Oryctolagus cuniculus: one gene and its partners. The protein of the gene in region 3 binds, or shares a complex with, the protein of the main gene of each other region. Links are inferred from orthologs where the notes say so. Each region holds a gene or a part of one and is shown on either strand. Other genes may lie near its edges. The genes, in order: CUL3, PEF1, KLHL12 and PLEKHA4.

Region 1 (5,446 bases), on a different chromosome or scaffold from region 3:
GAGTTAAAGATGCCTTGCAAATATAAAAAGATAGGTTTTTCTCTCCTAGTGATCCTGAGAAGTTACAAATTAAAATGACACAGCATTTTTAGCTCAGTAAATAGGCAAAAGAAAAATATGGTGCTAAAGACAGGAGTGAGGGAATGGATATCATACATTGTTGTACGGGTTACATTTTTAAGCATTTAAAAGGCAGTTTGTTGGTATCCATCAAATACAAAATGTTTATGACTTGGAGAAAGCCAATATATTTCTATAGAAGTTTTCTTTAAAAAAATCTGGCAGTTGTGTTCAAAGACAGAAATGGGTATAGCAGGACAAAGTTGAATCCACTCTCAGTCTGTATCTGTATCATGATAGCAATGCTGTGGAATTCCATGTAGCTTTAATATCTATGCTAATGTGGAAAATCTGAAGAAATTAGTAGAAAAATCCCTATGTTATTATCTCATTTATGTACAACACTCATATTAGGTGTAAATAGGAGGGTGTGTTCATATACATAAATGTAAATGTGTGTATTTGTATTCATGTTTATATAGGTGAATAGGAAAAGGTATGGAAAGATATATAGTGAATTGCAGTAGTTACTTCTGAGAATTAGCTGTAATTACCAGAGAAATAGCCCCTAAGAAAGTATTTTTGGTTTTTTGAATGTAGTTAAACAATAACTGTAATATGTAAGTCACTTTTAACATGCATAATATATCCATTCTAATAATAGTGTTATTTTAATTTTCTGGTATTAAAATTGGCAGCACATTTAGGATCATTTGAAGGAAAGGAATGTATATAATCACTGAAATTGGATCTTGAACTTGAAAATAGAAATCTTTCTGATTTCCAGATTTTAAGATTTTTGTTTTCATTTGATTACACACAGGCAGTAAATACAGTCAACTTAGATTGTAACTATTTATGGAAGACTGATGGACTGTACTCCATTTCGCTGGTTTACTCCCCAAATGCCAGGGCCAAAGCTTGGAGCCAGGAACACAGTCCAGGGTCTCTCATGTGGATATTAAAATTCAGCTACATGAGCAGTCACCATTGCCTCTTGGGACCTGCACTGGCAGGAAGCATAAGACTGAAGCTGCTCCAGTGCTAGGAGCTAGGCTCAAGCCTATTCCTGTGATGTGAATTTTAATTGTATAATAGAAGAACTGCGATTAGGCTCACTTTACTCTCTTTCTAGGAAAGATGTTATTAAGTGAACAGGAGTATACCTCATCCTGGAAGGAAAATTATAAAATGTTTCTAAAATCAGTAGTTACATGTTGGTTAACACTTTATTTTTACCTAAACATTAAAGTAGGTTCTTGATAATCTCTACTGGATGACATATTTGGATGAGGCATTATATCTCTTGGAACAAAAAAGAACATGTTTTAATATTTTGTAATTTAAATCACCCTTTTTCAGTTTGTTTAAACAATGAGATTTTAATGATAAGTCATAATATTCAGGGAATTCTTGTTGTAAATTATTTCTTTAATAGAATTACCTTGCTCTAACCACTGCTTGGTCAATTTACTTGCTAATTAACTAATGTGCTCTTAATTTTCCAATAAGTCTAATTATGTCAATCTGATGAAATTTCAGGAAATTCAGCAAGAGACAGATATCCCTGAAAGAGAGCTTGTTAGAGCCCTACAGTCCCTCGCCTGTGGTAAACCAACACAGCGGGTTCTTACCAAAGAGCCCAAGTCAAAGGAAATAGAAAATGGTCACATATTTACAGTTAACGATCAGTTCACATCCAAACTACACAGAGTCAAGATTCAAACAGGTATCTGGAATTATATTTTTCCTCTTAAAAAGATTATATTTTTTTCTCTAGAAAACATTTTCATCTGTTTCTATTAAAAAATAACGCTTTTCTAGTGCCGTGTGATTCTTACGCATAAGAAATAAAGCAATTTTTATTGATAAATGCTTGTATCAGAATGTAATTGAATCCAAGTACAATAAGCATTTTGGAAAGTAATTCATAATATGAACAAGGTACTTCTTTCCTTGTTTTTCAGCAAATGAAATTTTGCAGACATGCTAATACTTAAATTATTTTTAACTTGTTAACTAATAGACACTGGAAGTCTATTTTTAAAGCCCACTTACCATTTTTCAAAATTTACCTATGTAAAATTTGGTCTTTTAAATACAACTGTTTATGTTTTGATAAACATTTAGGATTCAAAATCTTAAATTATATATTATCTTGAATTCTGAGACATAGAAATTACAGTTTTGAACAGCTTGTAGTATAGGCTTCTAAGTTCATAGTGAAAAATTGTATCGATTATATATTTAACATAACGCGAAGTGTGTATTATCTATTTATTTAAGGGGAAGAAAGTACCCTGCTTTTGGGGATATTTAAAAATCATGTAGTTTACTGTCTGGTTTCAAAATTACTATTTAGAGAAGCTTCCAAGTACTATTTCATCCATTACAGCTTATTTATCTGTGTAGTAAAATAGTATTTTAGAGTAAGCTAGGTAAGATCAGTTTTTAAAATACCTATAGTTTTCTGATTTAAAAATAGATATTTAGTGAAAGATTAGTGTTAAAAATATATGATTACCAGAATACATTGATTCAAGAACTTTTTGTACATATTTCATTTGTTTTCCTCCTTGATCTTTTTGATTTTTTTGTATATATGCTTTGTGAACCAGTGTGGAGTGTCTATTAAAGCCTGATCAGCTTGTCTCATAGTTGGGATCTGTATCATTGTAATCTCAGCAGCCCAGATTGGCCCAAGTCTTTGTGACACAGAAATATTAAACAATCTTTAAAGTATCATGGAATATAATTTCTTTTCTCCTCTAGTGCAAGGCCTTTAAGCTTACAGATTTGGGCAGATGCAGGTTTTGGATTGGGAATTTCAGTGCTCATTTGTATCCTAGATTTCACAAAAAATATATGGGTATATATATATCTGAATTACCTGTGTTCACCCTGCTTTGCCCTGGATAAGTATCTTTGTAATCCCTGATTGCATCATGTCCAGTAATGAGCAGTTATTGTGGAAAAATAATTTCTGAATTTTTAGTTTTTGGTGTTAAGTTGTATGCAGCACATGTTTGTGTATAGCATGTTAGGTGTGATTAAAATAGAAATTGGTTTTATATGATGAAGGATTTGACTAGATGAGCTCTTGAAAGTTCTTTTCAATGATAAAATTCTGCAAAGAAGTATATTTTTCATTTGAGGATGGTTTTAGATGATCTTGGCTCTGAGTCATATTTTTTTAAGTGAAAATTTTCTCTTTGGCAGTAAATATTGTGACCATGTTGGTGCGTTGGTTTTCTTAAATTGCCAAAGGCTCAGTAACATCAAAAACACAGACTCTGACCTTTCCCTTTTACGCTGCTTTTGCTGTAGCCAGCAGTAGCAGTTTTGTAAAGAAGTTAACAAAATTATTAACAATACTCAATATTTGAAAAGAATTAGATTCGTTTTAGTCTACAGCAGTTTCCAGTGGTGACAGTACTCTCCATCTCACCACTTGCCTGCTTAAACTCCTCTTGCCTCAGCATACATATAGCTATATTTGTAGGCCCTCAAACAAGCAAACCCCTCTGTTCTCGTTAAGTACAGAATGTTGTGTTGGACTCTGTGAGTGAGGCCCTGTGCTCACATTTTTCAAAGCCATCATATTTTAATGTATTATGACCAGTCTTCTCGTTTATCTTTTTTTATGCATATTTAAGGAGTACACCTATTTAGGTGACCAAAGCCAAAAAATTTCCCCAACATTTTTTTCTTAAGATTTTATTTGAAAGTCAGTTACAGAGAGAGAGGAAGAGACAGAGATTCTGTCCACTTGTTCACTCCCCAAATCGCCTTGACAGCAAGGGCTGGGCCAAGCCTGGACCTCCACCTGGGTCTCACATGTGAATGGTAGGGGTCCAAGCACTTGGCTGTCTTCCCTGCTTTCCCAAGCACATTAAATAAAATACTTATTTTAAAAAATACATATTTTCATACAAAAATTTTTAAAATCAATGCATAGGTTTTTTCATAATACACATTTTCTCTGAACTTTTTGAAGGCCACTTATATGTGTGAATTTCAGTTTTTCCTTGTACCAAGATAAACATCTTTGAATTCTATTTCCCACAAACTTTTTGGAGTACTCTTATGTACCAGCCATTGAAATTTTTCCATATATGCTTTCTCTTCCTCCCCCTGTGTATGTATGTCTTTGTGACAGCATTTGAAATTGATTCACAAACAACACTTTCCCTCTAAACTTCAGCAGATACTTCTTAGAATGAAATATTTCCCTACATCACTGTAATACTGCATTACATATTATCTCTGTACCTTATTTCTGTGTCCTCGGTTGTCTCAAAGATTCCTTTCATACCTTTTAGAATCTAGGATACTATCAAAGTTTCTACATTATTTCATTTTTATGTCTCTTTACTTCCATTTGAACTAGTATCTCTACTTTAACTTTTCACATGACCTCTTTTTTTTTTTTTTTTTTTAAGGAAAAGTATTATTATGCATAGGTTATTTTCATCCATTCTGTTTTGCTAAGACATTAGGTTTTGGTTTTTTTTGTTTTTTGTTTGTTTGTTTTTTTTACAGGCGGAGTTAGACAGTGAGAGAGACAGAAAGGTCTTCCTTTTCCATTGGTTCACCTCCCAATGGCCGCTGCAGCCAGCGCACCCCACTGATCTGAAGCCAGGAGCCAGGTTCTCCCTCCTGGTTTCCCATGCGGGTGCAGGGCCCAAACACTTGGGCCATCCTCCACTGCACTCCTGGGCCACAGCAGAGAGCTGGACAGGAAAAGGAGCAACCGAGACAGAATCTGGTGCCCCGACTGGGACTAGAACGCGGGGTGCTGGTGCCGCAGGTGGAGGATTAGCCCATTGAGCCGCGGCACTGGCCTGCTAGGATATTAATTAGTAATAACACTGGGAAATGATGCTGAAAGCAGTATTTTTTTACTGAAGGATTCTAATTAATTAGAAACAGCTGAATGGATATGCACACCATAATGATTTTCTGAACTGTAGAGTGTGCTGTCTCTTGCCTTGCCTTAGTTAGCAGTGTCCAAAGATCTTGTTTGTGATTTCCCAATTTCTACCCCCAGAAAATTCACGTTTCCTTTTAACGACCAAATATGTCAAAAATCAATCTTCTGTTTTCTTTTTCTGCTATTTTAATTAGAATGAAGTTGTAGGAAAGAGGTCTGTCTTTTGTATTCCCTTAGCAGATGCTTTGAAGACTAGGGGAGGATAGAGTAATGTTCTGATAAAGCGTGCATGAATTTGTGATAAAGATAGTGACATAAAAAGCTCATAAAATGTATTACCAGAATTTGTTAGATAATAGAATTGTTGAAGATTCAGATAAGAAGTACAAATGAATTAACTTGACTGTTGGGAATTTCCGTTAACTGATGCCCTAGTGGTGTTTTTAATTACTT
Region 2 (5,446 bases), on a different chromosome or scaffold from region 3:
AGCAAAGGACAATGGTTGGCCTCCTTCTCAGATGGACACTGGTGCACCCTGGCCCCATGGGAACAGGCGACAACAGCTTCCTCTAACGGCTACAGCTCTGCTCCGCTGTAAGCTGAGCGCAGCACCTCCGTGGGCCTCAGGTGTCTGATGAACTGGAGAAAATGCAGGGGAGTGACGCTCAGCGAGGAGCTGCTGTGCCGAAGAGCCCAGGGGCAGACGTGGAGGCCAGCCCCATGCCTGACAGACACATGGATGGCATGCAGAAACGGTGAGGGGAGTCCCCGCAGCTCGGGAGCGAACCTGAGCCAAAGGCAGTGTTTTCAAGGCGGCAGGATTTACAACTGTCAGGAGATCCCTGTCAGTGAGGGAGGAAATGGGCACCTGGAAAGGGCCCGAGTGTGGCTTCTTGATAGATATTTCTTATTTTCATGTGAAAGGCAGAGAGACAGAAGATAGGGAACTTCCATCCACTGGTTCACTCCCCAAAGGCCTCCAACAGCTGGGGCTCAGCCAGGCTGATGCCAGGAGCTCAGAACTCAGTCTGGGTTTCCTAGGCGGGTGGCAGGGACCATATACTTGAGCCATCACCTGCTGCCTCCTAGGGTGTGTGTTAGTGGGAAGCTGGAATCGAAGTGGAGCCAGGACTTGAATCCAGGCACTCTGATATGGGACGTGGGCATCCCGTGAGGCATCTTAACCACTGTGCCAAACGCCCACCCCAGCACTGAGTTCTGTCACTGGAGGTTGCCTAACAGAGTGCGGACTCACAGGGGCCCTGCAGGGGCTTCCAGCTCTGGATGGGGATGGCCCTGGGAGCTGCATTCCATCTGACTGGATTCTCGCATGTCAGCAGCCCAGAGCGAAGGGGGCTGCATGGCCAAGCCCGACTTGCTTGCTGGGCCTCACTGACCTGCGGAACAGTCTCAGCCACTTCCCCAGCCACGCACTGCAGGGAGAGCCCTGCTTAGGACGCAGAGCTCTTATCTTCATCTCAAAGAGCCAAGGGATAATCACACCATCACCCGCGATAAGGCCCCCCTGGCAAAGCTTTTGACTGACATTTTATCAGCTCGCCATAGACACTCAGTGGAGACTGGGTATCATGCTGATCTAGGGATCTGACAGGCAGGTACAGATGTCTGTGCTTAATAAAAATGGGGGAAAAGTTATGACTTCATAAGCGGAGTTTGTCTGAAAGATAAAACTAAGGCCGGAGATAAAAAAGCCATGTTGTGCCAAGTTTGGGGTGGCTGTTTCCAGCCCAAAAACTGTAACTTGACAGTCAATTTGAGTTAATCTCCAAGCCATCCTGAGCTGAACCTGGCTGCCCCACAGTGCAGCTTCACGCTGGCCAGTGAGAACAGCCCATGGAGGCCATGCCCGCCCCGCCCCCGCCGTGTTCTGCAAGGCTTGTATCTTACGTATTCATGGAATGAAAGAACAAATCAGTGAATGAATGGGCAAGTGTAGCTGGGAAGTCATGGCGGACAATGTGGAACTTGAGTTTCATCCTTTTATTGAAGCTTACAGTTTCACTGGACTTTTGGCCCCAAATGAAAAAACTAGAAATTAAAAAAAAGCATTGGCAGTGAGAGGTGACAACTGTCCCCTGGGGACGAAAGCTGAGCAGAGCCTGGCAGGGAATGAGGGGTCCAAGATGCCCAGAGAGCAGACTGCGAGCTCCCTGAGCCTTGACTGCCCCAGGCAGAGAGAGGTAACTCACAAGGACTTGTGGGTATGGGACAAGGCAAGCCACTGGTCCCCTGGGCAAATCTCTCCCGTGCCTGATCAACTCCACTTTGGCCAAACTGGGCTCATCCAATAGGACAGTCTGGGGGAAGGAACACAGGTGCTAATGCTAAGACGGTGAGCCTCAGGGCGTAGATGGGAAAGCCGGAGGCAGAGGCCAGCAGGCCACACGAACTCCACGGTAATGACTGGAGCACCTGCTCCTGGTGCCAGGCTGTGCCACTAACTGCTCAGGGTTGTCAGGACTTCCAACCTCATTCTCTCCTACGTCAGGTCCCCCATCTGTGTGGCCTCAAACTAAGTCCCCACTATTTGGTGGCTGTGACACAAGACTCCTACCCCTCTGAGGGCTGTGTCAAGCAAAGGAGAATCTTTTTCTAGGAGAGGCAGGAAAAGAAGAGAGGCCCACATGCTTCTCCCACTCTAGGGAGCTGGGAGAGGCCCCTGGCGCACTCCACACCACAGGTGGGCTGGGTCATAGCATCCGAGAGGCTGTCATGGTAACGAAGTCCTCAAAGCTGAGCCGAATGTTGCCCTGTACGGCGGTGTCCTTCTCCCGGAAGGCCTCAGTCAGCACCTGCAGCTGAGTGCACACCTGGATGAAGCGGTCGAGCTGCATGGCAGGACTGGCAGAACGCGGGCAGTAGCGGGAGACCAGAAGCTGGGTGAACTGGGGGCTCAGGTTGTAGCCCATCTGGGACAGAGCTGGAGAAGAAGGGCACACAGAACACACAGAAACCTGCTGTGAGCCCCTGCCCAGAGCAGCCGCAGCTCAGAGAACACGGAGGGGACCGACACAGGAGCGTGAAGAGGACAGGAGAGTCCCGAGGGTCTGCACAAGGGGAGCACAACCGGGGCTCTACCTGCAAGGCCCCTCCCCCTTTCTCCAAGTCTCTGTGATCTGGCTCACAAGTCCAGACAAGGTTCTCTCCACTGTCATCTGACTCATCCGCATTACAAAAGGAGGCCTGAGCCCCAAGGACCACCCCAGCTACGGCTGACATCAAGGCGGCTGGCCCAGCCCAGAGGGCCCGAGGGCCGAGGGCCAGCTCGGAGTCAGTCCCTGGGCAAGCTGCTTAGCCGCAATATCCTTTCTTATTCTAAAGTGTGGATGACGCTGAGTCTGCAGCTTCTGGTGAGGATTAGAGGAGGCGATCATTAAAACAAGTAGCACAGAGCCTGGCACTCAGTGACTGCTATCCTAATAAAGTCTCCCCATCTGCCCAGAAGAGGCTGCTGGGTGCTCCCCACCCTCCACTGGGGCGCTGCCTTCCCTCCCCTCCACCCAGGTTCAAATCTCAGTTCTCCATTTGCTCTGGGGGCCCTTTGGCGAGGTTCCTACTCTAGGCCTTGGTCTTCCCAGGTGTAGAACAGAGGTCTAAGGGACCTTCACCACAGGGCATGAACAGTAAGCATCAGCCATAGCTAACACATGGGCATGAATGACACAAACCTGCGCAAAGGCTACTACAGTGCTTGTCCGAGACACAGCAAGCATTCCACAGACAGCAGTGGTTGTTAGTTTCACCCTTACCAATATCCTTTACAGCAACTGACAAAATCCCACCCCACCCCGACCAGGCACAGATGCCGAGCGCTCACCTCCACCCAGAGAGCCCGGACAAGAGACTGGACTCTCTGGCGGCTCTGCCCCCCTCCCAAGCGGCAAAGCTCCCTGCTGGTTTCTTACAACTCCATTAGCCACCTGTCCTCTCACCCACTGGCCTGAACCCTACCGTCAGACTGGAACCAGATGGGAGCTGTGGCCTCAGGTCATCTTACCCACCTGGTGTCTGGCAGAGGTGACAACAGAACCTGTTTCTGTACAGGGCTCCTTCCATTCTGCAGTCTGTATGCCACACACTAGAGGGGAAGGAGCCGCCCCAGCCACACACACTGGTCTGGTGCCCCGGCTGTCGAGTTCCCATCCCGAGGCTCCCTGCGGTTGGGGCTCTCACCTCATGCTGCCAGGAGACTTAGTCAGGGAGTCCAGGGCTAACTCTGGACCCAGGCGTTTCCCTGCCCTGGCCTGGGCTCAGTGCCACAGCTGGGTCACAGCAAGGGTGGGAGCAGTGGGCCTGCACTGGTGGGCCTCTGGGAGTGACAGGGACAGCCCTTGTTCTGCCCGCCGTGCCCCGCGTGGTCCTCACCTTGCTGCAGCTCCGTGTAGCTGATGGAGCCCGAGTGGTCCCGGTCATACTGCTGGAAGAGGTTCTTCCACTGCTGGATGAACTTCCACAGGGCTGAGAACCCGTAGACGTCGATGCGGCCTGACTTGGTCTTGTCAAACATGTCTGAAGGAGGGGAAGGCAGGAAGGCTGCAAGACTTGGGGCCAAGGCTTCTAGGAGCCACGGCCACAGCCCTTGTCCCAGGCTGGTGCGTGACACTCCACAGAACCACAGGCCAGAGGCCCAGTGCCTGCACCCAAGACATCTGTATCGAGTGTGTTGCATCAGCTTCCTCCCCTGGACGCCCCCAGCCCCACCCCACCCAGAACTGCACTTCCTTCACAGGCTTGGCAGTTGAGTCCATGGTGAACCTTCCCTGCCGTTTCCTACCAGAGGAAGGAGTCCCATTCTACAGAACAGAACACTGAGCCACCTCTAACACAGCAGGGTCAACCTGAGAAAGATCCAAGAGTCTCGATCTAAAGGATCTCACCTTGAACTCAGCTTCCTCCTGGAAATCCTCCTTGACCAAAACGCTGTGTCCTACATGTCTACCTCCCCACCTACTGTCAACCCCCAGGTGGCTTTGGCCCAGTGCACGCCCACAGGGTAGGTCTGGGACTCACTTATCATCATGAGGCATGTCTCATCATTGAATGAAGACCAGTTGGAGTTGACCAGAGCCTGCTTTAGCTCCTTGATGGAAATGTAACCACTGTGATCAGAGTCCACCGACTGGAACCAGGAGTAGGCCTCAGGATCTACACCGGGAGGGGCGCCACCTAGAGGAAGGGACATACACCAAGGGAATCCCCACACGAAAGGGCCTCCCTGGCAACAGGTTTTTCTTACCCACAAAGCCTCACAAATCTACCTGTCCCACCTCTCATCAAGTTGACAGCCTCCCACGTAGACTCTCTTGTACCTGCAGCTGATGTCTATACCAGGGCTCCCTCGGACTTCCGTGCGGTCACTTCTCTATGCAAGTTTGTGTTTCTAAGGGACAGGGCCTAGCCCAGCCCCTCCAGCACATCAAGGGTTCTCTGGAGGAGGGCTAAGGGACAGGGGAAGGGTGGTGGGTGACAATAAAGAAGCAGAGAAGTCTATCCGAGGAAAAGGCCCAAGTTACGCAGTAGTGGTAAACCACAGAGCTTACTGGCCACACCGGAAGCTCCTTCACACAAGAAACCATCAGAGATGGCCAGGGACAGCCGAGCAGAGTCGGTCAGCGCCAAAGGTGAGGGAAAAGACTGGCCTGCCTGAGGCCTGGTCTGACCTGCCAGGATGGGAAATCCAGGCAGGGCCCCGCCACCCTCCAGAAACAGCAGTGTGGTGGGGGCGGGGGAACAAGGGCCACAGCCCCAGGCAGGAGACTCTCTGTACCATGGGCGGTCTGTGTGGTGTGTGGAGAAGAGCTCAGGCTTTGGAACTGAAGCAGACCTGGATTCAAATCCTGCCTCTGACCTTTACCAGCTTGTGTGATACTAGGCAAAATGCAGAATTTTCTGGTTCGCAGGGCTTGGAACCG
Region 3 (6,145 bases):
TCCCATCTCCCCTTGGAAGTCTGCCCGTGAATCCCAGCCGCCGCCAGCGAAGCAGGAATCAGCCTCGGAGAAGCCAGGGTGCAAAGCTGGGGAGTGAGACTCAGCAGTGGCCTGGGCTCTGCTCGGGTTGCTCCTGGGGCTCGGGTCCCTGACAGGTGCATTCTTACACTGCCACAGCCTGGCAGTGCAGAATGCCATGTGTCTTGCCTGGCTGACTGCTCGATTCGACTTCCACTCTGTGCACCTGGATCCAGAATTCCAGGGCAGCTTCCCTGTCTTCCCTGAAATCCCTTGGTAACTATGTACACCGAGGATCAGGACCAAACTCATGAACTGACCTGTTTCAGACCTGGTCTTCCAGTATAGGTTGTAGGATGTCGGCTCAAGTATCGGAATGGCTGGAGGTATTCTTGTGTGGGAAGCATAGTGTCCCCATGAGTACACGTGCTGGGACCGTGCCCCTGAAGAACGGGGAAGCCTGAGTTAGAACCCCCCTGGGGTGATCTTTTTGCTAGCTGCACCTCTTTCAATCTCGGGTTAAACAGTGGGTATACTGGCAGGGGTGGGGCTCAGTCATTTAAGGGCCCCAAAGTCAAGTTCCCTCTCATATTTGGAAAAATTCCTAAGGTATCTGCCAGAAACTGGATAGTCTCACTAAAGGGATATTTTGCATCCAGAAAACAAGGAATTGTTTTTATTTAAATTGTACATATTTTAAGTCACATGATGCAAAGCTCAAAAGGCACAAAAAGAAACCTTTCTACCCTGTGTCATGATCAACCAGACCCTTCCCCCAAAAAAAACAATGTTACCATTTTGTTTTATACTTTGTTTCTTTTATACACATACGATCGAATATAATTGAATGTATCTTCTCACGTTTTGATACAAATAATAGCAAGACGACACCTGCTGCTCACAACAGCATGGTGCAGGGTTGAATGCACACCTTACTGAATCAGCCCTCCTAATGCACGTTGAGGGTTTTTCATCTACACACAACACTGCCGCATACAGTATACATGGCGGATACGTTGATAAACAATTGCGCAGCCAAAGGGTATCTGCATTCATACCTGTGATGACTTCCAAAACTCCGCAGAACTTGCCCCAGCCTTGCACTTCCAACCACAATGTGTAAACCAGGGAGTCTTCGGGTGGGAAGATTGCTTATGGAAGACAGAGACACCAAGCAAAGTAGCAGCCGCCCACCGTGCTGGGGTATCACCAACCTTAGGCATCAGAGGCCGCGCACAGGAAAGCAGTGTGGGCACTGACTTAGGTGGAACTGAGGAGCCCCGGCCCCTAACAATGCGTCCAAGTCAAGAAGAAGCAGAAGGCCTAGCCGCCCCCTCCCTGCACCCCCGGGGACGGCAGACAGGTCCGGCAGGGCTGCTCCGAGACCCTCGCAAGCCCCACTGTGACGCAGAGAACGCCCGAGGTCTCGGGGTTCTCGCCACAGCACTAGTCGGCGCGAGGCCGCCACTGTGGACCGTGGATTTTGAGACAGTTGCAGTGTCTCTGGGTTTCCTGGATGACAGGCAGTACCCGAATCCCTGGCAGGTAAAACGGAGCCCCTGCAGTCAGCGCCTTCGCCTAGAAGCCCTGGGAACGCTCCCCGTGGGGCCTGCCTCGTGGGCTGCGGGCAGAAAGAAACTCGGTTTCAGCGCATCACAGAGCTGGACGCCTGCGCGATCCCCTCCCCGGGCGCCCCCTCTCCTGCTGCTGGCCGAAGCCAGCCCCGGGCACATGCGGGTCAGGTGACGACGACGCCTCACGTGATGCCGACCCAGGGGAGGAGGGGGGCGGGCCTCGCTTGGCATTACGTCATCACGTCGCGCGGCCGCGGGGACCGGAGCCGGGACGCCCACGGTGACGGCCCCAGAGCCTCCGAGCGGGGGCGGCGGCGGCGCTCCGGCTCCTGCTGAGCCGCCTGCTCGCCCCGCTCCCCGCCCCGTCCCCAGGGACTGTGGCCGGGCTCGGCGCGGCCGCTGGGCCCGGGAGCCGAGGTGAGTGGACCGGAGGTGGCGGCAGGTAGCCCCTGCCTTCGTAAGGTGGTGGCCCTTCCCCCATTCCTGGGGCTCCCTCCGAGGAGGAAGGCGGGGGGGCTTCTGGCCTGCGGCACCCGGCGACCCGCGCCCCTCCGCTACCTCTGCCAGGCGGTGCCAGCCTAGCGCCCGGCGTGGTCCGCGGCGAAGACCTTCCTTCCTTCTCGGGAACTGACCCTTACCAGGAGTGGACACCCCGGCCCCGCCCCCAACCTGCCGTGGTGGAACCCCCGTGTTCAGGTGTGATCGGAGGTTCTAGAATAGGGCCCTTCCGAAAGGTAAGGGTGAGGCTGTGCTGAGGCTGCCTGGGGGGGCCGCTGTCCCCGCGCGAGGTCCTTCGGACCCTTGCATCCCAGGGTGGCCCTCGGTTGAGCGAAGGAAGACCTTTGTGCAGGACGCTCGCTCTGATGAATCACCGCCTGGTGTGCAAAGTGCCTGTGGCACAGTCGCTGGGTGGATCCTGTAGAGTGATGTGCGGACCATGGACAGAAGTAGATGAGTTTGGGGTCTTGTTTTTGCTCCTCAAACATCCTGACCGTGAGTTGCGAACTTTTTTTAATTTCTTGGATTATTTTTGAAAGTTTTGGATTCCCAGTAAGATGTACTCTCTTAATGACCACCCCCCATTTCACTCCCAGAAATTGTGCCTGAAGCCAAAGGAGAAAAAAAGGCTGTGAACTAGCACCTGTTCCTTAAGTTGCTGTTAGGTAGGGAATCACTGAGCTGATGCGCACAAGTGAACTTTGGGGCACAGCCGTCCCTTGGTGTCTGCAGCGCATTGGTGCCAGGAGCTGCCACAGATACCAGATAGGCTGGCACTCAGGTCTCCTGTAGAACGCTGTGTTTGCATGCAGCCTACCTAATGCATTGTAACTGCTGTGTAAGTGGTTTTGATACTCTGCTTAGGCAATAATGTCAAGGGAAAAACCGTGTGCATGTATAATACCCATGATTTTTTTTTCTCAAATAGTTCTATCTGCAGTTGGTTGACGGTGTGGGTGGGGAGCCATGGGACAGAGGGCTGACTTGTAACAGGCCACGGCAGCGATGGCGGTGAAGTTGGCAGTAGAGGGATTTTAGGTTTCTATCCTGACAAGTTCTCTGAGTATAGAAGAAGTGCTGTGAATATTGATGTGTTAGCATTGGTGGACGTTCCCAATCGTGTAGAACAGGAAGACTCCTACTGAGGAGTTTTGACGACTCTGGGGAGACCACAGATGGCTTGCGTGGTCTCTGCTATTCAAAGCAGGTCCCAGGTTGTCGTTTGAAATTTCACTTTCAGAAGAAATGTAATTATATTTGGAAATCCTGATGCATAATTCTTTGCATCTTGTATTTCTTTGGAAACCAGTTCATTTTCACCAATACTAGCCTTTCTTGTTCTAAGTTGAATACACTGTTTTTCTTATATTTAATTGTTAAATTTTAATTGTGTACCTGCTAGGGTCCATATGAACCAAGAACCCACCCTCTGAATACTTATTCTCTTATGAATATTAAATAGCCATGATGTCACACCTTTAAGGGATTTTACCTTTTTATCACTTGAGACAATCCCATGAAGATACATAGGCCTTTCTGTTTAGAATACAGTTGAGCACCGATTATAATAAATTGCAGGTGGCAGGGACACTCATGACAGAGGACTTGAGAGGAAGCAGGGCTGCTCCTTAAGCTAGAAGAGTTAGCGGCCAGATGGCGGTGAGCCCAGAGAGCGCAGGGGCTGTCCCTGTGGGCGTCTGTGCCTGCAGAGGTCTCAGCCCCCGTCTGGGAAGCTGATGGCCTGTGTGCCTCTGTTGCCTTCTCTTGCAGTTCCAGGACCCAGGGCCCCCTCTGTTCTTTCTCCATATTGCTTGATGGGAGGCAGGATGGCCCCCAAAGACATAATGACCAACACGCATGCTAAATCCATCCTCAACTCGATGAACGCCCTCAGGAAGAGCAGCACCCTCTGCGACGTGACGCTGAGAGTGGAGCAGAAAGACTTCCCCGCCCACCGGATCGTGCTGGCTGCCTGCAGCGACTACTTCTGCGCCATGTTCACCAGCGAGGTAAGCAGGCCGCACCCGTGCAGCCCATGCCTGTAAGCGCCTCGCCTCGCCTCACCGAGGAAGACAACCCAAGCTTCATATGGTAGTGGAGTCTTGTAAGACGCTGTGTAAGCAGGCAGGCTTATTCACAGTGAGATCCGCACATGCCTGTGCCTTCGTTTTCTCACCTCTGAGTTAGAGATAATAGTGCTGCCCAGTGCGTCACGCAAGGCTGTGGCGAAGACAGAAAATTACGTGTCAAGTGCTTAGGACAGCTTAGTGGGTAATGAGACGTTATTGACTTTGTGTTGGTTTGTTTTTAGAGATTGACTTATTTATTTATTTGAAAGTCAGAGTTACACGGAGAGAGGAGGAAAGGCAGAGGCAAAGAGAGAGGTCCTCCATCCGCTGGTTCACTCCCCAGATGGCCACAATGGCCGGAGCTGCACCCGATCCGAAGCTGATAGCTTCTCCCGGGTCTCCCACGTGGGTGCAGGGGCCCAAGGACTTGGGCCATCTTCCACTGCTTTCCTGGGCCACAGCAGAGAGCTGGATGGAAAGTGGAGCACTGGTGCCTGGATGGGATGTCAGCACTGCAGGCGGTGGCTTTACCTGCTACGCCACAGCACTGGCCCCCAGCTATAAAATTTGCCTTCACATTTTTCTAAGCTTTAATTTTTTTTTTAATTATTTGAGAGGCAAAGTTACAGAGAGAGAGAGAGGGAGAGACAGAGAGAGGTTTTCCATCTGCTGTTTCACTCCCCAAACTTGACCACAACTGCTGGAGCTGGGCCGATCTGAAGCAAGTAGCTTCTTCCAGGTCTCCCTTGTGGATGCAGGGACCCCAGCACTTGGGCCATCTTCTACTGCCTTCCCAGACCACTAGGAGGAGCTGGACTGGAAGTGGAGCAGCTGGGATTCCAAACCAGCATCCATATGGGATGCTGGCACTGCAGGTGGAGGCCTAACTTACTATGCCACAGCTCGGGCCCCTCCCCAAACAATTTTTGACTACTATGCCTCCCCAGCTTCTGATATATGTTTATAATCTATTTTCATTTATTTTTAAATGTTTATTTTTATCTACATGAAAGGTAGAGCAACAGAGAGGGGGAGAGAAGGAGAAAGAGAACCATCCACTGGTTCATTCCCCAAATGCCTGCAACAGTCAAAGCCAGAAGCCAGAAACTCCCCCTTGGTCCTCCTGCGTGGGTGGCATGAACCCGAGGACTTGGGTCATCATCTGCTGCCTTCCGAGGCTGGTTAGCAGGCAGCTGGTCAGAGCAGAGCACCGGGACCTGATACAGGATGACATGGCAGGCAGTGGCTCAGCCTGTGGCCCCACGGCACCGTCCCCTGTAATCTAATTTTAAAGCCAGTGCAGTTAATGATGCTGTGAACCAGCACTCAGTCACACTGCTGGTAGGAAACACGCAGAAACCTAACAGGTCATTCCAGCTCCTCCAGGCTGATGTTAAAATGACCTCGTGTAATGCAGCGTTATAGGTCACCATGCTGTACGGTTCTGGGTGATCCCTGCCCGAGAGCATCAGAAGCCGGGCCCTTTCTCGGGGAGGAGAGTGTCACCCAGCAGCCGCAGCCCATGAAATGCATCCAGGCTGCTGGCTGCTAATTGCATGTTGTGCTTCCTGTTTGGTGTCAGCTTGAAGAAAACCTGTCTGCACTCTTTTAACCCATTCAGAAATTAGTATAGAGTTCCATATAAATTTTTTTTTTCCTCATTCTTTCTTTAAAAACTGGCATCTGGCAAGAAAATGCCAGATGATTTTGTCTTTACTTTTAAGAGTAATTGGTTTAAGGGAAAGAGTCCCAAGACCCACTTGGTCCTTTTTTTTTTTTTATAAAGATTTATTTTATTTATTTGAAAGACAATCACAGAGAGAGGTAGAGACAGAGAGAGAGGTCTTCCATCGCTGATTCACTCCTTAGATGGCTGCAACGGCCGGAGCTGTGCGGATCCGAAGCCAGGAGCCAGGAGCTTCTTCCGGGTCCCCACACAGGTGCAGGGGCCCAAGCACTTGGGCCATCTTCTACCGCTTTCCCAGG
Region 4 (5,446 bases), on a different chromosome or scaffold from region 3:
GTGTTGTTGGTGCCAAGATGTATTTAAGTCCAGTAGGCAGTGGACTGGAGTCATGGGGTGGATTTTAGGATGAAGTAGGAGGGGCTCACGGTGAAGACAGTGGGGCTTAAATCTGGGAAGAGGCACTTCACAGATTTAACTAGAGGGTAATGTTTTCAACTACACACACGCGATGTAGAATGCCACGGCTGTGCTTAGGAGGAGTGGGACTGAGGCTGAGCACTGGGCTTATATGTTAGGAGTGGGGCTTGAACTCAGGATTGGGCCTAGAACTTGAGGCTGCAGAGGACAGAAGCAACAGTGAAGGCAGGGTGCTGACTCAAAAGCTGAATTTGCATACGGAGAGGAGGCTGCGCCGTGAGTAGAACCAGGGGAGAGTGGCTCTGAATCTCAAAGTCGGTCTGCAAACCAAGCGCCTCAGGAGGAAAGGACAGACAGCAGGAGCCCCCACCCCCACCCCAAGGACAAGAAGGCTTCCAGGGGAACTTAGAGTGGACAGAGGGCCGGAGGCTCCGCAGCAGGGAGGTACCTGGGGTGACCCGAGGTGAAGCAGGTACTCCAGCGTCTCCCGTAAGGTGCCCAGCTCCTGTTCCAGGCCGCTATAGATGTCCCAGACCCGCTCCCGCTCCTCAGGTTCCAGAACACAGGAGACACGAGGTCAGCACTCACTCCACCATCCCCACCCCACCTTTCCACGGCTGACAAGAAGGGAGGGAGCCTGCTTCCCGTGCCCTGGGATACACAGACAATAATCCCCAGGTGGGGCTCCAGCACCTGGTAGAACCTGCAGTTCCAGTGAGCTGCTGGTGTGGACCAAGAACAGCGTTCCCGGAATCCCAGGGTTACTTCTGCTCCACGGGGGCGGAGTCTACACAGCTGATGTCACAGCTACTCCACAGGGTGGGGCAGAGTCTACACAGCTGATGTCACAGCTACTCCATGGCGGGGGCAGAGTCTACACAGCTGATGTCACAGCTACTCCATGGGGGTGGAGTCTATACAGCTGACATCACAGCTACTCCACGGGGGCAGAGTCTACACAGCTGACGTCACAGCTACTCCACGGGGGCAGAGTCTACACAGCTGACGTCACAGCTACTCCACGGGGGCAGAGTCTACACAGCTGACGTCACAGCTACTCCATGGGGGGGGCAGAGTCTACACAGCTGACGTCACAGCTACTCCACAGGGGCAGAGTCTACACAGCTGATGTCACAGCTACTCCACAGGGGCAGAGTCTACACAGCTGACATCACAGCTACTCCACGGGGGCAGAGTCTACACAGCTGACACCAGTGCCACGGCAGCCACACACCTCTGGGCAGCACAAACCTCCTCGCCACACCACTGACCGTCACAACAGCAGCTTACACACCCGCTTAATTCTCGTGAGGAGGGGTCTGTGATTGTCTCCGCCTTACAGACACGTAAACAATAATCTCACCATGTAAGCATCTGTCTACATCATGCATATGTCATAATTATAGCCAAGTCATGGGTCCTTCACTGGTTTAGTCATTCATTTACACACACACGTGCAATCTTCACAGTGACGTTACAAAGTAAATACTATTTTTAGGAGGCACCTAAGGCCCAGAAAGGTTAAGTGACTCTTCTCAAGGTCACACAGCTACTAGGAGTGGGAGTCGAGATTCGGATCCAGGAAGCCCACGTTAACATCACCCTCTTAGGGGCGCCAGTGTGTGATGTGGCAGGGTCAGCTGCTGCCTGAGCCCGGGCGCCGGCTAAAGTCCCGGCCACCCTGTAAAGCACCTGGGAAGGCAGCAGTGGGCCCGTGCCACCCAAGTGTGCGACCAGAATGGACGTCCTTGCTCCTGGCCTCCGCCTGGCCCAGTGCTGGCTGTCGTAGCCACGTGGGGAGTGAATCAGCAGATGGAAAAATGGAAGACCTTTCTCCATCGCCCTCAAACAAATAAGTAAATCTTCAAAACAATTTAAAAACTAGGGGCCGATGTGGCGGTATAATGGATTAAGATGCTGCCTGACATGCCAGCATCGGTTGGAATCCCGGCTGCTCCACTTCTGGTCCAGCTCCCTGCTAACGCACCTGGGAAAGCAGCGGACGATGGCCAAGTACTTGGGCCCTGCACCCATGTGGGAGACTTCCACAGAGTTCCACGCTGCTGGCTTCGGCTGGGCTGTTGTGACCATTTTAGCCATGAACTAGCACACAGAATCTCTGTCTTTCACACTGCCTTTCAAATAAATAATCTTTCAAAATAAATAAAATCTTTAAAAATAAATTTAAAAAGTTAAAAAATGAAATCACCCTCTGAAAGTGCTGACTTAAGTTGTGGACCTTACGCTTGTCTCCCGTGCCCTGGGATGGCCCCGGTTCCTGGTTTAGAGTTTAAGAGGCTGGAATTCTGAGGAACGCTCCCGTGAGTCCATGGATGTGCCCCCCAAGGACCCCCTGGGAGGGCCTCCCCCTTCCCCGGGGCTCACCTGAGTCAGGTGACAGAGGGTGGCCCTCACGCTGACCAGTCGGTCCTGCAGGAGGCGCTGGCGCCCCCAGGCCCTCCCGGGAGCCCCAGCCTCTCTGGTTGCCTGGCTCAGCTGCTGCCGGGTCAACTCCAGGGCTGCTTCCAGCTGTTCCTGCAGCGACAGGGAGGTGGTCAGGCTTCCGAGGCCACCCCCGGCCACAGGAGAGGGCAAGCATCCCCCACCTTGCCATCCACCCAGCATCCGGACCCGACAGTCAGGGAGGGCTAAGGGCAGGGGAGGGGCTGGGGCCCTCCGGCACCTTCTCCTCCTGCTTCTGGTCCAGGTCCTCCTGCAGCCTCCTGAGGAGCCGGTCCTGCCCACACAGCTTGGTCAGCAGAGTCTGGAGGAAGAACAGGAGCTACTTATGCACGCACCCCCCGCCCCCTACCACCATCCGGAACACTCCCTCCCCTGGTCGGAGAGCAGCAGGGGTTAGATTCGGGAGAACTTACATCTGTCTCCAAATTTTGGTGGAAGGCTGAGTCCAAGGGGGGACCTGGCTGAAGAGGGGGAGAAGTCAAAGGTCAAAGGGTGCACACAGGTCCCCACCGTAGCTCACTGAGCCCTGCCCGTTTTATCCCCCTCTGCTTGTTAGCGCCCCTCTGAGCGTCAGCTTCGGAACATTCAATGGGATCAAACAGCGACAGCAAACGGCAGAATCCATGGGGAAACTTTAGCTGACTGTGGCCACTACGGTGTAACGTGGCACCGGAGACCCTGACCAGTGCTATAAAGAGGGGAAACGGGAAGGTCTAAGGAGAGGAGGGGGATCGGTGAAGCCATCAATGTTTACAGGTCGCACGTTCCTCCACCCCAAAGAAGCAACAGAATCCAAGAGCGAATGAGTGGATTCGGCAGAGACCCAGATGCAAGGGGACGGCACGTAAACGAAGGGCACTGCTGTACAGCATTAAGAACTGGGAAACACAATGAGAACGTAAGACCCCATTCGAGTGGCTTTAAAACCACCAGGAAGGCTCATCTCCAAAAGCATGGAAAGCAGGGTGTTGAAGAGATCTTGGCACACCCAGTCTGTCGCGGCACTGCACATAATAGCCAAAGAGCAGACCCAAACTCTCCGATCATGACGTGTGAACAGATGAAGTGTGATCGATCCACGCAAACACCACTCAGGCCGTACAGAAAGCGAGTCCCGCTGCACAAACAGAGAAGAGCCTTGAAGACACCGGGCTCCATGAAATCAGCCAGTCCCCAAAGTCCAGTTCCACGGGGTTCTATTCCCATGAGGAGTCTGCAGCTAAACCGACAGATGCACACAGCTAGACCGACTGATGCACACAGCTAGACCGACTGACGCACACAGCTAAACCGACTGACGCACACAGCTAGACCGACAGATGCACACAGCTAAACCGACAGATGCACACAGCTAGACCGACAGATGTACACAGCTAGACCGACTGACGCACACAGCTAAACCGACAGATGCACACAGCTAGACCAACTGACGCACACAGCTAAACCGACTGACGCACACAGCTAAACCGACTGATGCACACAGCTAAACTGACTGACGCACACAGCTAAACAACAGATGCACACAGCTAACCCAATAGATGCACACAGCTAAACCGACTGACGCACACAGCTAAACTGACAGATGCACACAGCTAAACTGACTGACGCACACAGCTAAACTGACAGATGCACACAGCTAAACCGACTGACACACACAGCAGGGCAGTGGGTTCCAGAGGCTGTGGGAGGGAACAGTGAGCTGTTCAAAAGGAACAGGGTTGTACAAGATGGACATGTGCTTTTTAAAATTTATTTTAAGATTTATTTATTTTTATTTGAAAAGCAGAGTTACAGAGAGGCAGAGGCAGAGAGAGTTTTCCATCCGCTGATTCACTCTCCATATGGCTGCCACGGCTGGAGCTGCGCCGATCTGAAGCCAGGAGCCAGGAGTGTCTTTCAGGTCTCCCGCATGGGTGCAGGGGCCCAGGGACTTGGGCCATCTTCTACTGCTTTCCCAGGCCAGGCAGAGAGCTGGATCAGAAGTGGAGCGGCTGGGACTCAAACCAGCGCCCATATGGGATGCCAGCACGGCAGGCGGCGGCTTTACCTGCTACGCCACAGAACCAGCCCCAAGATAGACAAGTTCTAGAGATCTGTTTCATTTGACTGTATTGTGTTTAGCACACGTAACTGAACTGCACACTTAGAAGTGGAGAAGAGACTGGTTAAGGCGCTCACGTCCCCCATGGGAGCGCCTGGGTTGGGTTGGGTTGGGTCCTCAGCCTCGGCTCCTGGCCACAGCTTCCCGCTCATGCAGACCCTGGGAGGCCGCAGTGACGGCTCAGACAATGGGGTCCCTGCTGCCCACACGGGAGACCTGGATTCAGTTCCCGGCTCCTGGCCCAACTGCAGCCATGCGGGCGTTTGGGAAGTGAACCAGTGGATGGGAGATTTCCTTCTGCCTCTCAAAGAAACAGATTTAGAATTTCTTTTTTAATTTTTAAAAAGGTATTGATATGGTACATTTTATGTTTCGTATTTTTCTACACACACACACACACACACACACACAACAGGAATTCAGGTATAGGAGTTGCTATACCTGAATATACAAGATCTCTATGGGGGAAAAAAATCGAAAACTTGAAAAAACAGACCTAGGAGATGACCTGAATGAATGAAAAGATAGTCCATGCCTTGTTTGTTTGTTTTTTCACAGGCAGAGTAGACAGTGAGAGAGACAGAGAGAAAGGTCTTCCTTTGCCATTGATTCACCCTCCAATGGCCGCCATGGCCGGCGCACCGCGCTGATCCGATGGCAGGAGCCAGGTACTTATCCTGGTCTCCCATGGGGTGCAGGGCCCAAGCACCTGGGCCATCCCCCACTGCACTCCCGGGCCACAGCAGAGAGCTGGCCTGGAAGAGGGACAACCGGGACAGAATCCAGCGCCCTGACCGGGAC

Evidence for each region.
Region 1: KLHL12 (region 3) and CUL3 share a complex: the UniProt entries of both Homo sapiens proteins name them as parts of the BCR(KLHL12) E3 ubiquitin ligase complex. The link is inferred for Oryctolagus cuniculus from reciprocal best matches to the Homo sapiens genes KLHL12 and CUL3.
Region 2: the proteins of KLHL12 (region 3) and PEF1 are in contact, whole or in part, in a crystal structure (PDB 8RBH), measured with the Homo sapiens proteins. The link is inferred for Oryctolagus cuniculus from reciprocal best matches to the Homo sapiens genes KLHL12 and PEF1. Residues at the interface, in NP_067646.1 of Homo sapiens: Phe289, Gln293, Arg320, Tyr321, Leu371, Glu417, Tyr434, Ile439, Phe481, His486, Cys511, Tyr512, Tyr528, Leu533, Cys558; in NP_036524.1 of Homo sapiens: Gly15, Gln16, Ala17, Pro18, Gly19, Ala20, Pro21, Pro22.
Region 4: the proteins of KLHL12 (region 3) and PLEKHA4 are in contact, whole or in part, in a crystal structure (PDB 8OIO), measured with the Homo sapiens proteins. The link is inferred for Oryctolagus cuniculus from reciprocal best matches to the Homo sapiens genes KLHL12 and PLEKHA4. Residues at the interface, in NP_067646.1 of Homo sapiens: Phe289, Arg320, Glu417, Tyr434, Ile439, Phe481, His486, Cys511, Tyr512, Tyr528, Leu533, Cys558; in NP_065955.2 of Homo sapiens: Pro177, Gly178, Gly179, Pro180.

The regions. Positions count from the first base shown.
Region 1 is NC_091434.1:14,738,148-14,743,593, forward strand, and holds part of CUL3 (cullin-3), read left to right. Parts: intron 1-1,602; coding exon 1,603-1,789; intron 1,790-5,446. UniProt on the Homo sapiens protein: Core component of multiple cullin-RING-based BCR (BTB-CUL3-RBX1) E3 ubiquitin-protein ligase complexes which mediate the ubiquitination and subsequent proteasomal degradation of target proteins.
Region 2 is NC_091438.1:140,789,712-140,795,157, reverse strand, and holds the end of PEF1 (peflin), read right to left. Parts: intron 4,701-5,446; coding exon 4,545-4,700; intron 4,044-4,544; coding exon 3,900-4,043; intron 2,455-3,899; coding exon 2,225-2,454; 3' UTR 1,500-2,224; downstream 1-1,499. UniProt on the Homo sapiens protein: Calcium-binding protein that acts as an adapter that bridges unrelated proteins or stabilizes weak protein-protein complexes in response to calcium.
Region 3 is NC_091444.1:18,665,329-18,671,473, reverse strand, and holds the start of KLHL12 (kelch-like protein 12), read left to right. Parts: upstream 1-2,399; 5' UTR 2,400-2,455; coding exon 2,456-2,585; intron 2,586-3,860; coding exon 3,861-4,099; intron 4,100-6,145. UniProt on the Homo sapiens protein: Substrate-specific adapter of a BCR (BTB-CUL3-RBX1) E3 ubiquitin ligase complex that acts as a negative regulator of Wnt signaling pathway and ER-Golgi transport.
Region 4 is NC_091449.1:8,350,771-8,356,216, reverse strand, and holds part of PLEKHA4 (pleckstrin homology domain-containing family A member 4), read right to left. Parts: intron 3,006-5,446; coding exon 2,958-3,005; intron 2,846-2,957; coding exon 2,765-2,845; intron 2,617-2,764; coding exon 2,467-2,616; intron 629-2,466; coding exon 530-628; intron 1-529. UniProt on the Homo sapiens protein: Binds specifically to phosphatidylinositol 3-phosphate (PtdIns3P), but not to other phosphoinositides.